Astyanax mexicanus: one gene and its partner. The protein of the gene in region 1 binds, or shares a complex with, the protein of each later gene. Links are inferred from orthologs where the notes say so. Each region holds a gene or a part of one and is shown on either strand. Other genes may lie near its edges.

Evidence for each region. The genes of interacting proteins can lie anywhere in the genome.
Region 2: the proteins of sympk (region 1) and ssu72 are in contact, whole or in part, in a crystal structure (PDB 4H3K), measured with the Homo sapiens proteins. The link is inferred for Astyanax mexicanus from reciprocal best matches to the Homo sapiens genes SYMPK and SSU72. Residues at the interface, in NP_004810.2 of Homo sapiens: Val123, Lys127, Leu131, Gln135, Asp175, Asn176, Asp177, Gly178, Thr181, His182, Lys185, Glu188, Pro204, Arg205, Arg206, Gln207, Ser250, Ile251, Thr254, Thr255, Asn262, Ala290, Ser292, Gln293, Ser295, Ser296, Lys299, Asn300, Leu303, His304; in NP_054907.1 of Homo sapiens: Glu113, Tyr116, Asp117, Val120, Asn124, Glu127, Gln128, Glu129, Thr130, Cys131, Gln132, Pro133, His135, Asp167, Glu169, Asn170, Asp173, Gln177, Glu180, Thr186, Phe187, Leu188, His189, Thr190, Val191, Phe193.

What each region holds. Positions count from the first base shown.
Region 1 is NC_064408.1:29,757,172-29,764,968, forward strand, and holds the start of sympk (symplekin), read left to right. Parts: upstream 1-4,455; 5' UTR 4,456-4,612; intron 4,613-5,532; 5' UTR 5,533-5,540; coding exon 5,541-5,615; intron 5,616-6,071; coding exon 6,072-6,137; intron 6,138-6,228; coding exon 6,229-6,282; intron 6,283-6,376; coding exon 6,377-6,450; intron 6,451-6,815; coding exon 6,816-6,942; intron 6,943-7,077; coding exon 7,078-7,327; intron 7,328-7,564; coding exon 7,565-7,735; intron 7,736-7,797. Other genes in the region: hnrnpul1l (heterogeneous nuclear ribonucleoprotein U-like protein 1), read left to right, coding at 251-379. UniProt on the Homo sapiens protein: Scaffold protein that functions as a component of a multimolecular complex involved in histone mRNA 3'-end processing. Specific component of the tight junction (TJ) plaque, but might not be an exclusively junctional component. May have a house-keeping rule.
Region 2 is NC_064431.1:31,532,609-31,540,342, forward strand, and holds the start of ssu72 (RNA polymerase II subunit A C-terminal domain phosphatase SSU72), read right to left. Parts: upstream 3,415-7,734; 5' UTR 3,261-3,414; coding exon 3,181-3,260; intron 1,464-3,180; coding exon 1,320-1,463; intron 1-1,319. UniProt on the Homo sapiens protein: Protein phosphatase that catalyzes the dephosphorylation of the C-terminal domain of RNA polymerase II. Plays a role in RNA processing and termination. Plays a role in pre-mRNA polyadenylation via its interaction with SYMPK.

The sequences.
Region 1 (7,797 bases):
GCTACTTCAGCACTACAGATGTTTGGGGAAAGGATATGGTGTGATGAAACCTGCAGTGACACACCTTTAAAAAAATAACTGGACAGTAGCATCATAGTTCTTTGTGGTACCTTAAATAAATATCATCTTGGGGTCTCTCAAACATAGTGTCAGGAAACGTATCTAGTACTTATTTAGAAATAGTTTTGATAATAGTGTTTGTTTGACCTGTGATCTTGATTGATCTTTTTTTTCATTGTTGTGTTTGCAGTATGCTCAGCAATGGCAGCAATATTACCAGAGCCAGAGCCAGTGGAACCAGTACTACAACCAGTACGGAAACTACGGCAGCTATGGCAACCAGCAGAACACGCAAGGCTCCCAGGGCACACAGCAGTAGTACCTGCATCGACCGTGACCCTCCAAGCTCATTCCGTCAACATCATTCCTCTGCCTATCTTTTTATAGTCTCCGTCTTATCTTACCCTCACATAGTCTTCCTTCTCCCTTACGCCACTCCCCTTTAAAAGCTTTGTATGTTTTTTGTTTGCTTCTGTTACTTTTTACCCTATTTGCTCAGCCTTAAATGTAACTGCATTTCCTTGCGCTCCATTAATGCATTTTAGTTCTGGTGGCAGTAGCCAGTTTTGCTCTTGAAGTGTTATGTTAACTCAGAGTTTAGTTCAGATATTTATAAACGGCAAGCAGGCAAATTTATATGAGTAGCGACATGTGATGTAGTTTGTTCCAGATACTGCACGCACAAATGTGCTTGAACGCTTTGTGGTTGATTACGTGTAGTGGGGGCGCAGGATTTTACATCTGATCAGTTTTGACAGTTTTGTATGTAGAAACTTGTTTCTCTGCTCTTTTTATTCATCTTTTAAGAACCATATTTTCCCTCATTGGTTTAAGAAAGCAATCTTGTGTAGATAAATACTAAGTGAACATTTTAACAGCATAATTCTTTCTAACGCTTTAATTGAAATCATGTACCTGTGGAGTTTGTCAAATCCTTTTATATACCATTCTTAATGTCTCAACTGGCTGGCTTCATGTCTTCTCATGTTTAGTGAGCATTAGTTGCTCCTTGTGTGGTTGTAAAAGTTTTTATACCTTGTACCATGTTTGTAAAACAATATTTGCATGTGGTTTTGTGTCAGATCAAAACTCACTTTTTTGTATTGGAGAATATAATCTAAGGAAATGACTTGATTTGTTGTTTTGTAGTTTTCTTTTATTCAAAGTGATTGTAGATCATTTGTTCTTGAAAGCAGCTTTCAGTCAGACCAAACATTTAAGTGACTGAAGTTACTACATCCATATGTGCAACCAATAGTAATTATTTAAACTACTGATATATTTTTGATGAGCACTATAGATTTTATCGGTACAAAACGTGTCCAGTAACAGCATGTAAAGGTGAAAAAAATGAATAGGATATTGCTAAAATATCCCATCTTGGACAGTACCTACGGCTATTATTAAACCTAAAGTAATTAATGTTAGCTAATTTAACCAAATCTCTTAAAAAATGAACTGAAATTGTGTTAAAAAATTTTCGTTCTAAATGGTTTGTATCAGAAATGTGTACTTTTACGGCAAACGATTGCAAAAGTGCATTTCTGTTTATAGTGGTTATCTGACCTGCCTGTGAAAATAGATTAATGGATGAGTGTAAAATGATAAAAGAATTTGTGCACAAGTATATTAATAAATAGTGTAAATACACATGGTCAAAATCAATATAATAAAACCTTTGTGTCTTCAGCATAACTGTTTCAGATTTATAGGCTATAACAATATATTTTTCAAGATTTACTCTGAAAGAACACGTTATTACAAATATAGAGGAATGTTAAGCTTTAGTTTAAAGTACTTTTTTTTTATTTCAAGCGGTTTTCTTTAATGCGAAAATGTTCTTTAGTGCGCAGATTTTTGCAATGTCTGCAGAGTTCCCTGTTTTCTATGTATCATATTGTGTGTATAATTAGCTGAGGTAAAGCTTTAGCTGTCCACCCTGTCCTTCTAAAATATCCAGGTAATGGACCAAGGTCACCATGAACAGTTTCCAAATGTATGCAAACCTAGGTCATTCGTGTTTTCATTAAATGCCAATTTTTGCCAAAACTGTTTACCCTGTCGTGCATCTTAAGTGAACAAATGTGCTTGCCATTGGAAAAAAAATAATTATTTCGGAAAAATTTGATTTCTGTACCCATATGTAAAATGTGTGTATTGCAGTAGAATACAGAAAATTGTCCAGTGAAAAATATCATTCTCCATTTGTGTAGCTACTATATAAACTATTTAAATAATTCTGAATAAAAAGAGTGAAATCTTCCATTTTAAAACATTTGCTAAATTTCAATTTTGGATATATGCTGGATATATGCTAGGTGTTTTAGTGGACATGGCTTTTGTAATTGTTTGTAATTGTAAAAACATCAAATTAAAGGAATATAATGCCCATATACTGGCTACAAGTGTAGATGAAACAAACATACAAAGCCCCTAAGGTGACATCATGTTAAAAAAAAATAATGCATGGCCATGATTTAAGGTGTGGGAATGAAATCCTAAGGCATGGCTTAAAAATGCATTGGAACAAGATAATTAAGTTGTAGCCAGAGAATAATAAAGCTTGCTTTTCTGTAAATTAAAACCCATGAAAAAGATTTATTACATATAAGCTCCAAAACAAGGAAAATTTGTAAGAAAATGGAGAGTTAATAGGTTTCTTTTTTATTTTCATCTTGAAATTAATGATGGCGATATTTTGGAGTCTCCTGCAGTGAGACAAGACTTAATCTAAGTAAAAGACTCTTAATTTTCAGACTTAAAGCTAACGGGCTCAGACGCAGACAGTATACAGACCCGTTTACCTTCATTATGCAGTCATGTTCCAGATCTTCCTTCCACTACCAGATCAGGAGAATCTCTCGCTATTTTTAAGAAACTCCTGAAGACAGAGATCTTCAAAGAGCACTTACTCTCCTAACACCTCTAACAAACTAACTTCTTCTAACCTCACTCCCTTCTTCCCCTCCTTCACTCCTCTATCCTACTATTTCTCTTTGACCTCCTTTAGGCCCTATCTAAAGATGCTTTTACCATTAACATCTATTACTTTTTGTACTTCACTATTGTAAGTCGCTTTGGACAAAAGCGTCTGCCAAATGTAATGTAATGTAATGTTGTGCACAACCCTTGAGAGCTGCTTGCTTTGTTTGCTGTGAAACAAAAAAGCTTATGACCACACCTCAATGTCTACGATTTAATTAACTTGTTCCCACGCCCTAATATGTCGTGGCCATGCCTTAATCATCTCATTCCCACGCCTTAATAAGTTGTGGCCATGTCTTAGGATCACATTCCCATGCCTTGTTTATCTCGTTCCCAAGCCTTAATTATCTCATTCCCTCACCTTAAGTTGTGGCCACGATGAAAGAACTCACTCCCACTCCTTAATAAGCTTGGCCACGCCTTGGGATCTCATTCCCACGCATTTTTTGTTATGATGTCACCTTGGAGGTTCTGTACGAAACTCTTTCTCTGCAGTAAAATAAGTTCTTTACATTCTGAAAACTTTCAGGGTTTTTGAGGACCATGGAGAAGCAGCCTTTCCACTCTCTACTACAATAAATAGATAACTCCAAATTAGTAAAAGGAATCTATGGAGCCCCTAAGGTGACAAAATATATAATAATGTGTGACTATGACTTATTAAACTGTGGGAATGAGATCCTAAGCCGTGGCCACAACTTATTAAGACGTGGAAATTAGATAATTAAGGCGTGTCCACAAGGTCCTCTTGTTTCACAGAAGCAAGCAGCTCTTGTGCACTATATGACTGCCTAAGAAAGGTTAACGGGTCTGTTTGCGTCTGAACCCATCAGCGTTTAGTATGACAATTAATTGTCTTTTACTTAGAATTGTTCCATGTTTCACTCCAGGAGACTCCAAAATCTTATCATAATTCATTCCAAGATGAAAATAAAAAGAAACCAGTACACTCAATTTTCTTACAAAAGATTGTCTTTGAATTGGAGCTTTGATGTAATATTTTTTCATGGGCATTAATTTACAGAAAAGCAAACTTTATTATTCTCTGGCTCTGACTTATTTATCTTGTTCCCTCGCCTTAATAAGTTGTGGCCACTATTTTTTTTTTTAACAGGATGTCACCTTAGGGGCTCCGTAGGAATTCCCAAATTTTCCATTTTTGAAAATAGACATAAAAACTAGATAACCGTAACGAAATGTTTGGAGGACATGGAATGTTTTATTTTGGTTCAGGAAAGTTTGAATTTTAAAATGAGGTTTAGTTCAGTTTCATGATTTTTATTAATTATACTTTGACAGCTGCAGATTTAATTCAAAATAAACATGAAACCCTTATATTTAATGTCTGAAGAGAAATATCAGGATCCGCAATATCAGGCTGATTTATTATTATTTTTATAATAATAAATGGGCTGTGAAGTTTAGACGGAAGTGTATGTGTGTTGTGAGAGTCTCCAACAACCGACACTTCCGTTCAGCTCCGACATGGCGCCTGTGGAGTGAATGGAGTGATGGAGATGTGGAGTTTACAGCCGGTCTGAGTGAACAGGAGAGAGATAACACTGCTGTGAGTTACTGTAACGAGACTCTGCTCTTTAACTAACCCCGCGGGCCGGTCTGGTGCTTCTCATTTACTATTAAAACACTATAATACACAACCGGCTCAGAGGCCAGGCTGTAGCTAACGGTAACTATGTTAGCTTAGCTAAGCTAGCTTTAGCTAGTCAACTAGCTGATTAGAATTCTCCCAACAGTCAAGACTCAATATTCAAAGAGAGTTTACGGTCATGTGAACAGTAAAGGAACAGGGTTCCTTCTACAATTAAATTCTTTATGTGGAAAAAAAAGTCTCACACAGAACTTTAGCTACTTGCTAAGCTAGCTAGGTTAGCTAACTAGCTCCTCATACAGTGAATGGAGAAAGTGACTTGTGTTTATGTAGTGTGGACCTGAGTGTTATCAGAGTAAAAGCCCAGTTGGTAGTGTAGCTCTGTAACGAAAAAAGCTCGTAGTTAGTTAGTAGTTGTAAATGTAGACTGCAGGTCTCACACAGAATCCAAACCCACAGTAAAATAAATCTCAAGTGTGTTTTGTTTAATTTGTAGTAAAGTGGAGTCGATCAGTGCTTCTTCAACATTTGTGGCACTGTGACTCCCCCAACCCCAGCCAGGGATTTTTAAATTTAAAATAAAGATAAATGGACATGCCTAAAAATCGTATATAGACAGGTCCATTGCAACAGGACAGGCAAATCAATCAATTGCCTTTTTAGTATCTCTTTCAAATGGGGCCCCTTCTAATTGTTACAAAACATTTTTTCAAAAACTATTGGCCATGATGATCAAAACTAGTCATCGCCGAATAACATTAACTTCCTTTTCATAAAATTACCCTGATCACAAGGTTCAATGTGTTATTCCCCAGCAGAAAGAAATAATGGAATTGCATGGAAGTCTGATTATTTTTTGAAATTTTGCTGTTGTTTAGCAGACAGAATGGCGTCAGGCTCTGGAGAAAGGCACTTTACTGGATCGGAGGAAGCAGCCATCGATATGACCACCAGTGAAAAGGTAATATAAGGGATCCTTTGTGGCTTGGCCGATCACTTATGCAGTTCAAGTTCTGTAGTCCATAACGCTTCACAGTGTCTTACGTTTCTGGTTCTAATACTCCTAATTCAACTTAGGGAGTGCTTACTTACAAAACTGTTGGTCAGCAGTGGCTTAGACTACATCATGCATGGCTCTTGCAGTCCAGGAGGATTCTAAAGGTTTAAAGAATTACCTACTCAGTCACACAATATAAGGCTGTGACCAGTTTTAGAATGGTTGCTAGAGCAGAGGAAATATCACACTGAGCGAGACTGTGGCTTGTCAGAAATAAAAAAAAAATCATATATATGTATATATATATATATATATATATATATATATATATATATATATATATATATATATATATAGCTTTTGAATGTGCATCACAATGAAATGTTTTAACTGTTCCTCACAACTGACTGTGCATCATAGGTAGTGGACCTTTTGAACCAGGCTGCTTTTATGTCCACTGATGATAAACTTACTGCACTTAAGCAGGTAAACATATTTCTATAGCATTGTGTGCCATTTTTACACAATCAGATGTTTGAATTGCATGCTTACTGTAAATATTTGTTTTGATTATTAGGTGCAGGAGTTGATTATTAACAAAGATCCATCATTACTTGATAATTTCCTGGATGTAAGTAAAATCACTTTTAGTGTTCTATAAAAGCTTCTAAAAAGAAATCCTTAAGGCATAAACTAAAATGTCATCTCTCTCATTTCATCTGCAGGAGATGATTGCGTTTCAGACAGACAAGTCAATTGAAGTGCGGAAATTTGTTATTGGCTTCATCGAGGAGGCGTGGTGAGTTCTATTTTTGTTTTGTTTGTTTACGTGATGTTCTTATTGCATTTCTTAATACTCATCTGCATTATTTGGTCATGTTGGTTGGCAGTGCCAAATATACAACTGCTCTACTATATACAGTAACAATGTATGAAAAGGTGTGTCAATATATATGTGTTGTATAGTGTAGTATTAATAATGTATGTGTGTAAGTTTACTTTACTCAGTCTACTTTATCGTACACATAGAGATTTTTGAGCTTTGAGTTAGTGCTTCATGTGACATGTGTGTATAAAGCGATGCTGTTTAATTTACATAACAAAGAAACTCTTTGGTGTTAATAGCCGAGAACCAGGTAATGTCGTTTACTTGTGCTGTTTCAGTAAACGGGATAATGAGCTGTTGCTGAAGCTGATTGCGAATCTGAACATGCTGCTGAAGGATGAGAGTGTGAATGTTGTGAAGAAGGCCATCCTCACACTCACTCATCTTTACAAAGTGTCTCTACAGGTATTTTTCCTGCTTTACTGCTTTACTTTTTTATGTTGTCATTCAGTACCTTGTAATGACTGACATTTAGAGCCAAAGCCTTTTGCAGCATTTCTCTTACTGATATCTGACTGTTTTGGTTTGTCTTTCTGCCAGTGGTTGGTGCAGTCAAAGAGTGTATCTGAAATGCAAGAGGCATGCTGGAATATGGTGACCCAGATGAAGGAAGAGGTTCTGGCTCTGCTAGATTCAGACAATGACGGCGTTCGCACCCATGCCATCAAATTTACTGAATCCCTCATAATCGCCCTATCACCACGGAAACCAGACTCAGATGTACCCAAGAAGCAAGAGGGGGACATCAGCCTTGACAAAATTCCAAAAGATCACTCGTACATTCGCTATGGTGGGTCAAATCTATGACAAAGTTGTGTTTAATGAGATTTTTAAAAATATTATTTTATGCTTTTACACAATAAATTATTTAACCAAAGTACAAAATCTAGTTTCAAACTATATATGGCAAACAGTTTTTGTGTTTATTTTTCTCCCATCATTTGGCAGCTTTCATGTCCATAAATCCAGGTTTAATAATTTTTTTTTGTTTCTTGTTTTGTTTCGTATTTAATCCCTCTCACTTTAGATGTTCTTTGTGAAGAGGGGAAGTCTGCTTTAGAGCAGCTCCTCAAGTTCATGGTGCACCCAGCCATTTCCAGCATTAATCTCACCACAGCTTTGGGATCACTGGCCACGCTGGCCCGGCAAAGGCCCATGTTCATGTCAGAGGTTGTACAAGCCTATGAGACTCTTCATGGTGAGTGGAAATCTTATAGTGATTGTGGTGATTGTTAGGATTCTACTCAGACAGCCCTGACC
Region 2 (7,734 bases), on another chromosome or scaffold:
TCGCTGTCCAATGAAAAACAAGTATCTCCATTTGTGTCAATTTTTACTTTACTACATAATTTGAACAGACAAACTGCCCCTTTCATGTGCCAAAATTTCCTGATGAATGGTCCAAAAGAATTACTTAAAAATGACCTGATAAACACTTTTTACATTGACTTCCATTAAAAGTTTAGAAGTTTTTTTTCCTTTCTCTCCCCTGTAAAGTTGTTGTTTTTGGGGGTACTTGTTTTTCATTGGACAGCGACAAAATACAGGCCTGTGTATTAAAACTACACTGATGCAACATTTTCACAAATGTAGACTTTAAATATGGGCTGTACAGATTAACTCTTATTACCGGTAATTTATTCATTTCCAAAGTACATAGAGCACTTAGACAGCAACAAATACTATGGGTGTAAAGTAAATCAAAGTTTAAAAAGTAAATATATTTTTACGCCAATTTACATGTGCAGATCTTTTTACAAGAAGTTTGGTTTTACTCAATGACGTCACAAACAAGCCTATTTCTTTCTTACTCCTTACAGAATAACAAAACAACGTCCTAGACTTCAGATTTCAACATATTAATAAATGTAAATGCTGATATATAATACAAATTACATAAATGTACAATGCTCAGTTTAGATCCAGAAGCCGTAATTTTGAGACTTATATTACACTACTTGGGAAGTAGTGTATAATCTGGGATTAAATCCCTTTATCATTTTAAGACCTTTAAAGCACTGACATGCTTATGAAAGCATTTTTTTTTTCAAAATGTATTTTGGAAAAATGTATTTAAAAATAGCTTCCTGAGATTTTATGCACGCTCCCATCCTTAACAAACTGTGGAGCACAAATGTCTTGAAATTTTACAATTAGACTACTTTAAATTCGTTGTAATAAGCTAAAATGTCGCATATTAGAACTGCACTAATGCACGTATTCCTCTGACCACCGACATAATGGAGTGCACCAAGAACCAATTAACTTCCCCTGTGAGATACAAAGATGTGTTTACCAGCTGAAGGTTTGAAACGCCATTATTTTTACAATACTAAAGCTTTCAGACCAGCACTCTTACAAAAAAATGCTATTTTCCTCCAGAATTAGGAAAAAAAGCCATTATTCTGGATACAGAAGCAAATACTTGTATAAAAAAGGTTTATACACCCATTTGCACTCTTGCAAAAAAAAAAAAAACTTTCCAAGAAAAAAGCTGCTGTAATTCTGGTGTAGCAACAATGTGAGTGAATATGTGAGTGTGTAAAAAGGGGAGACGTAGAGGTGTGTGTGTGTGTGTGTGTATGAAAATGTCTGTGAGCTCGGGATACAAGTCCTTGTCTTTTCGGACCAGATCGCTGTACATCTGTTCGTAAGTGGTTTTGAAGTCGTACACGTTGGGCTTGTCCGGAGCCGGGCCGGGGAGCTTGACGTGAGTGCCCGTCCCGAACGACCGCACGTCAAAACCACGTTTGCTGCAGAAACACAGAGAGATGGTGAACAGCTGAACAAAAACACACATTAACACACTCAGCACAACAAACACACACCTGCAGGGAATACATATCCCTCACTCTACTCTATTTACAAGTTATCTAGCACTTATCTAGCACACTGTGTGTATGAGAAATCAAGCAGTCGAGAGAAAGTGAATGTGTGCTGGAGTAAAGTTAAAGTGTGCACTAAAATAAACAAGAGAAGAAATGTATGTGTTTGGGCTAGCAGCCTCCCGAGGAAGTGAGCTAGTGAGCTCATGGGGAAGTGAGCACCTGAGATCCAGAGCAAGGGAACTAGTGAGCTAGCGTGTGGTTTTAATCTAACACCCCCTCACCCCAGCTTCCGGTTAATAAGCAAGTGAACCAGTGAGATCCTGAACAAAGTGAACTAGTGAGGAAGTGAGCTCCTGAGATCCAGAGCAAGTGTACTAGTGAGCTAGTGTGTGTGTTCTTAGTCTAACGCCCCCTCGTCCCAGCTTTCGGTTGATAAGCAAGTGAGCCAGTGAGCTCCTGAGATCCAATACAAGTGAACTAGTGTGTGTTTTTAGTCTAACTCCTCTTGTCTCAGCTTCCGATTGATAAGCAAGTGAGCTCCTGACGTAGTGAATGTGAGCTCCTAAGTAAACAAGTGAGCTCCTGAAACAGTGAATGTGAGCTCCTAAGTGAACAAGTGAGCTCCTGAAACAGTGAATGTGAGCTCCTAAGTGAACAAGTGAGCTTCCAAAGAAGTGAATGTGAGCTAAGTGAACAAGGGAGCTCCTGAGCTAATGAGCGCCAGATGAAGAGAGCACCTGAAACACTGATCTCCTGAGATCCAGAGCAAGTGAACTAGTTAACTTAGTGTGTGTGTGTGTTTTCAGCCTAACGGTCCCTCGCCACAGCTTCCGGTTGATAAGCACGTAAGCCAGTGACCTCCTGTGCTAGTGAACTAGTGAGCTTCTGAAATACAGAGCAAGTGAGTGTGTTTTTAGTCTAACTCCCACTCAACCCCAGCTTCCAGTTGATAAGCAAGTGAGCTCCTGCAGTAGTAAATGTGAGTAATCAAAGTGAACCAGTGAACCAGATCCTGAGCAAAGTCGACTAGTCAGCTCCTGGGATCCACAGCAAGTGTACTAGTGAGCTATTGAAAGTGTTTTTTGTCTAACGCCCCCTTATCCCAGCTTCCGGTTGATAAGCAAGTGAGCCAATGAGCTCCTGTGAACTAGTGCGGTCCAGACCTAGGTAAGAAGTGATATCCAGAGCTAGTGAGGTAGTGGACAAGTGATATCCAGAGCTAGTGTGCTAGTGAACAAATGATATCCAGCCCTAGTGAAGAAGTGCGTGTGTGTTTAGTCTAACTCCCCTCCCCCCAGCTTCCGGTTGATGGTTTAAAGCCTCTAACCCAAATCCTCGCACTCTTCCGACTGTAGAACACAGATAACTGACTAAATGACGATTAAAACGAAGTTAATTCGGATCAGAATTCGGATTTGCTCCGTTCGGACGGGTTAGTTGTTAGGAGGCGGCTGTGTGTGAAGGAGCCGGGCGGATAAACCTCTCTCTGAGAGGGTGGTGTGTTTGTGCTCCTCAGGGCTCTGGAGGAGCAGGAGCTTTAGGAGAAGCTGTGGAGGAGCTGAAGGAGATTTAGAAGGAGTTGTAGGGTGAGGTTGTCGGCGGCTCGCTGTAGTTTTCTCGGTAGGTTCCTCTCCGTTGTTACCTGAGGATGTTGTGAGCCTCCATGCTGCGGTTCTGGTTGCTCGAGCAAACGACCGCCACGCGCAGCGGCTGGCTCGGCATCGCTGTGAGTTAAAGTTCACAGTTCAGAAGAAGAATATTAAAGTTAAATATGAGGAGAGGAGAAGATCAGCGCGGCGGTTTTAGGAGAGGAAGACTGAGCCGGACCTGCTGTACAGAGAGAACTAGCTAAAATGGCGGAGGGAGACGAGGGGGCGCTGACGTATTGCAGCGGACGGGGCGGAGCCACCGGGTGTGACGCCACCTCCACAGTCCCAGTACTGCGCCTGCGCGCAGGGCCTGTGTCACGTCGATTTGTGCTACCCGTCCATATGTGCTAATTTTTCTGCTGCTGCGCAAGCGCTGACCCATGTGTTTATCACGATAAATATCTAGAACAGTTTTCCTTGAGTATGTGATGTAATTAACATTTTCTGTTTAAAATTGGCCTTAAAATATCCTTTTTTCCCTCACGAATGTTAACTACAAATTTACACGTATATCTTTTGTTATTATAACAATACTTTGAATTAACCATTACAATATATTGTAAACCTTTATATTCTACCCTTTGATTTTAATTCACTTCTCCAAACTAAGTAGAATCAGTACAAAAAAGTTCTTCTGTCACTGTTTTATTGTGATGAGGATCTATCGTATATCGATTAGCCTTTCTCAATTAATGTATTATTGTTTTTATTTGTAATTTTGTTATCTTTCATATGTCTAATTCTGTGATTTTCTTGTTTCACGAGCATATTGGATCCATGAATAATTAAGTCTGTACGTACCAATAACTTGGATATTGTTATCTGTCTGACGTTATTTGTATACTTGTTTGTTAAATAAAAAAGGTTTTCATTGAGTACTTTTTACAATCTTTTTACAGCAGTGTAGTTTGCAAATTGGGATAAAAAAATTATAGACTTAAAATCCTACCTAGCTTCACTTCAAACTTCTGCCGGGAGAATGTTCTTATATGATTTTTTTTTTTTTTTTTTACCATCAAATAAATAATACACTAGATTAACACGGTTTGACATACTAGCACATTTTGTCAGCGTACCGTCTGCTTTTTCTATTAACTCTATTGACTTATATTTATATATAAGGCAAATAAATTTTCACATCATTGTATCTCAACGATCACAAACACACACAAAACATGGTGTAAACTCATTATTACTTTATTATTTGACACAGCAGGTTTTGTATAAGAGAGGGAAAAAGCACAGTATTGAAATTTCTTCACCAGTCTGCACATCCTCTGACAGTGAACAACAATGAGGAACTCTCTAACAGCTATAAGGCATTTAATCTTATTGGGTCCACCACAGGGATGGCATCTGAGAACACAAACGCTTTACAGTGAAGTCCTACACAAATAAAACAGCATTGCTTTGTTTGAGGAGAAAGCTAAGAAGTGTCCCACATTCCTCTTCCAAATATTCACACTTCTGTAAAGTCACACTTTATGTAAAAATGCTATTGCTGCTAATAATCAATGAAAGCTGGTAGGCCTGGATAGAATTAGCATGTATAAACACAATGCAACTCCTTACAAATGCAAATACTGATAATTTTACCTTCTACTCACTAATGTATGTAGGATTATCAATGAGTAACAGACAAATTAATTAATGATTTCACTTATTATTCCCTAATTTAAGAATACTAATGATTCAATAACTACTACACAAGTTAGGTAGCACATTCCAGCGTTCATCCAGTGTTAGCATTAACAACATTTTTACATCTTTATTCAAGTGATAATTTAGCCAGAAATCTAACTCTTAACTCATTTCCCACCTTATCATATATTTACTCAATCAGAAAAGACAATAGAAAGCTTATTTAACGTTAGTTTAATACTGGAGCTATCAGGCTAATATAGCGTAGCTAACAAGCTACCAGTTAGCATGGTGCTAACTGCACACTTTCCCTTAAACCAGTTATTAATCTATAACATATTTCCTCATGTGTTTTCTGATATTATTTAACTCTTTATTATCTATTAAGGTCATTTTGAGATAACAATATAGATTGCGTACAACACATATTAATTGTTAGCTATATTAGCCCATTAGCCTTGTTGTTATCTTCAAACATGCTAGTTAAATTGTAAATGGATTAAAATAAGCTCACACAATTGTCCACAGCTAAAAATGTGTAAAACTAATCAATTAAACATTTTAAAGTATCATGGTGAATTTTCTTATCGTCTCAGCAATATACTTTTTTTATTTTTATACTTAGTCATTTTATTACAAAGAGCATAATAAGTCCAGTTTAGTCAATTTTGAATAAAAGTCGGTACTTAGTATAAGATAGCATTTTAAAGAATCACAAGTATTGCAATAAATATTGTGTATTGTGAAAGTTAATCTAATTCCTTAACAGGCTATCATTTTGTCAGTTTTATTCCTGATATTACACGACTAAATGTTGAGGATTTCTATTCACGAATAACATGAAAAGATGAAAAGATACTGAAAATCCTAATTGTAACTATAATAAAAAAATAATTTAAAATATTGCAGTAAATATATGCAAAAAATCATAAAATTAATGCTTTCTCAAGCTTAATTTCAAAATAATTTTAAAAGTAATATTTAAAAAAATACAAATCAAACAGTTCCTGTCCCTTTCATTTAATTATGGGCGTCTAGTTTTCATGTCTATTTTAAACATGCAGAGTTCAGGTTGATTCACCAACTGTTCTGTTTTCAGAATGTAAAAAAATATATTTTACTGCAATGAAAATGGGTTTTGTATCATATTCACTTTTAGCCTGTATACGGGCCAAATTTTGAAATACAGATTTTTTTTTTGTTTTAACATATCAGCACTAATTTAGAGTATAAGTGGGAAAATTGGGACATTTAATTTTTGGCTTCACTATCACTTTAAAACCCAACACTAAAACAGTCATGAGATGATCATCCATTGCTTTCTGTTACATTTTTATTACAGTTTATTTTCACCCTACAGTTATTCGAGACCTTCTGTATAACAGCATGTTTCTACAGCTATGTGAGTAAACCTATTTTTCCTAAGGGTGTGCGCACAGTTCAATGGTAAACATACGTTAATATTATTTGCAGGAAATGGACACAGGTGAGTCCAGGGTCACAGGCAGCGGGCACAACAGCTTATTGGTGAGAGTTTATAGCTATAGGAAAAGGTTAAAACGTTAAAGCTGGAGTCTGATCTCCGTCTGTACCTGATCTGTGTGTTTATACACTCTGAGGTTAGAGGCGGAGTTTGACCTTTGTGTTCAGGAGTGCAAAAAATGTTTCGTATTTATTTATGTATTTTATAACCAATGATTTAAGGACCAATTATTGTGATTACTTTTGAAATTATTTTTTGAGTACTAGACAAATAATAAAAAATATATAAACAGAAGGCAAATAATGTTGTATAATATAGTTGTATGGAAATATCAGGTTGTTTGCCGTTTTTAAAGCAGTAAGAAAATTTCAAATGAATGATGATTAATTAGTCAATTAGAGTTAAATCAATGTCACCACAACCTAAACCAAAAAATATGATTCTTGAAAATAAAGGGGTGTGAAAATCTGGTGTTCTTATTTTTTTTTCCTTTAAATATTATTATTTTTTTTACATTTTAGGTATTAAAATGTCCCTTTAGAACAGTTAACAAAAAATGTAATAAAAAAAAAATAATTTAGTGGGTTCAGTGCACATTAAAGCATGAGGGTACTTTAAATAATATTATTATCTGCAAACATTTTCACACACACACATACATACACACACTCACACACTTTAACAAGTGATTTGTCCAACAACCAATCAAACAAAATATATTTTGAATGTGTATTTCTCTACTGGGTACTGCAATGACCAATGAAGCAGAACAGCCTCTGATTGGCTGTATTCTTTTTTCAGGGGGTTCTGGGGTAAAAAATAGGCTCTAAGCGTGCCAATCTTCTATATTCCTGTATACTGGCAGATCAACTCCCATTTTTTATTAGTAAGTAATGATCTTTTGAACATTTTAAGTTGGTAAATATTTCTGCATCGATACTTCTGCTTGCTTTATGTTTGCCTGTGCGAGCGCCCTATGCAGCTTCAGCTATCGCTCTGCAGTTCAAACAGAGAAGGTGGGAAATTGTGGGTGGGACCAATCACAGCTGCTGCTGTCTGCGTTGTGCAACGTGTAGTTACATCGTGTAGTTACGATTATGGCGTAGCTTCGACGCAGAAGTATAAACTGGTCTTTTCTTCCCGATTGGACGCCAGAGCAGCAACTAATAAAGCGGATAAGATTGGCCTCTGATTGGCTGCTTTCTGAGCCCCACCTCCACACTTTGTTATCGCCCTAATAAACATTTTTTTTAAATGTGCGCATATTGAGGGCGGATTTTAACAATGTAATTTCAGCTCTGGACAGAAGGGTGTGCTCAAAACTCCTTCTAAGACTGTTAGAATCTGATTTAAACAGTATATAAATTCTGAACTGAATGTGTTAATTTGTGTTTTTGGTTTTCAGGAGAATAAATACAATAAA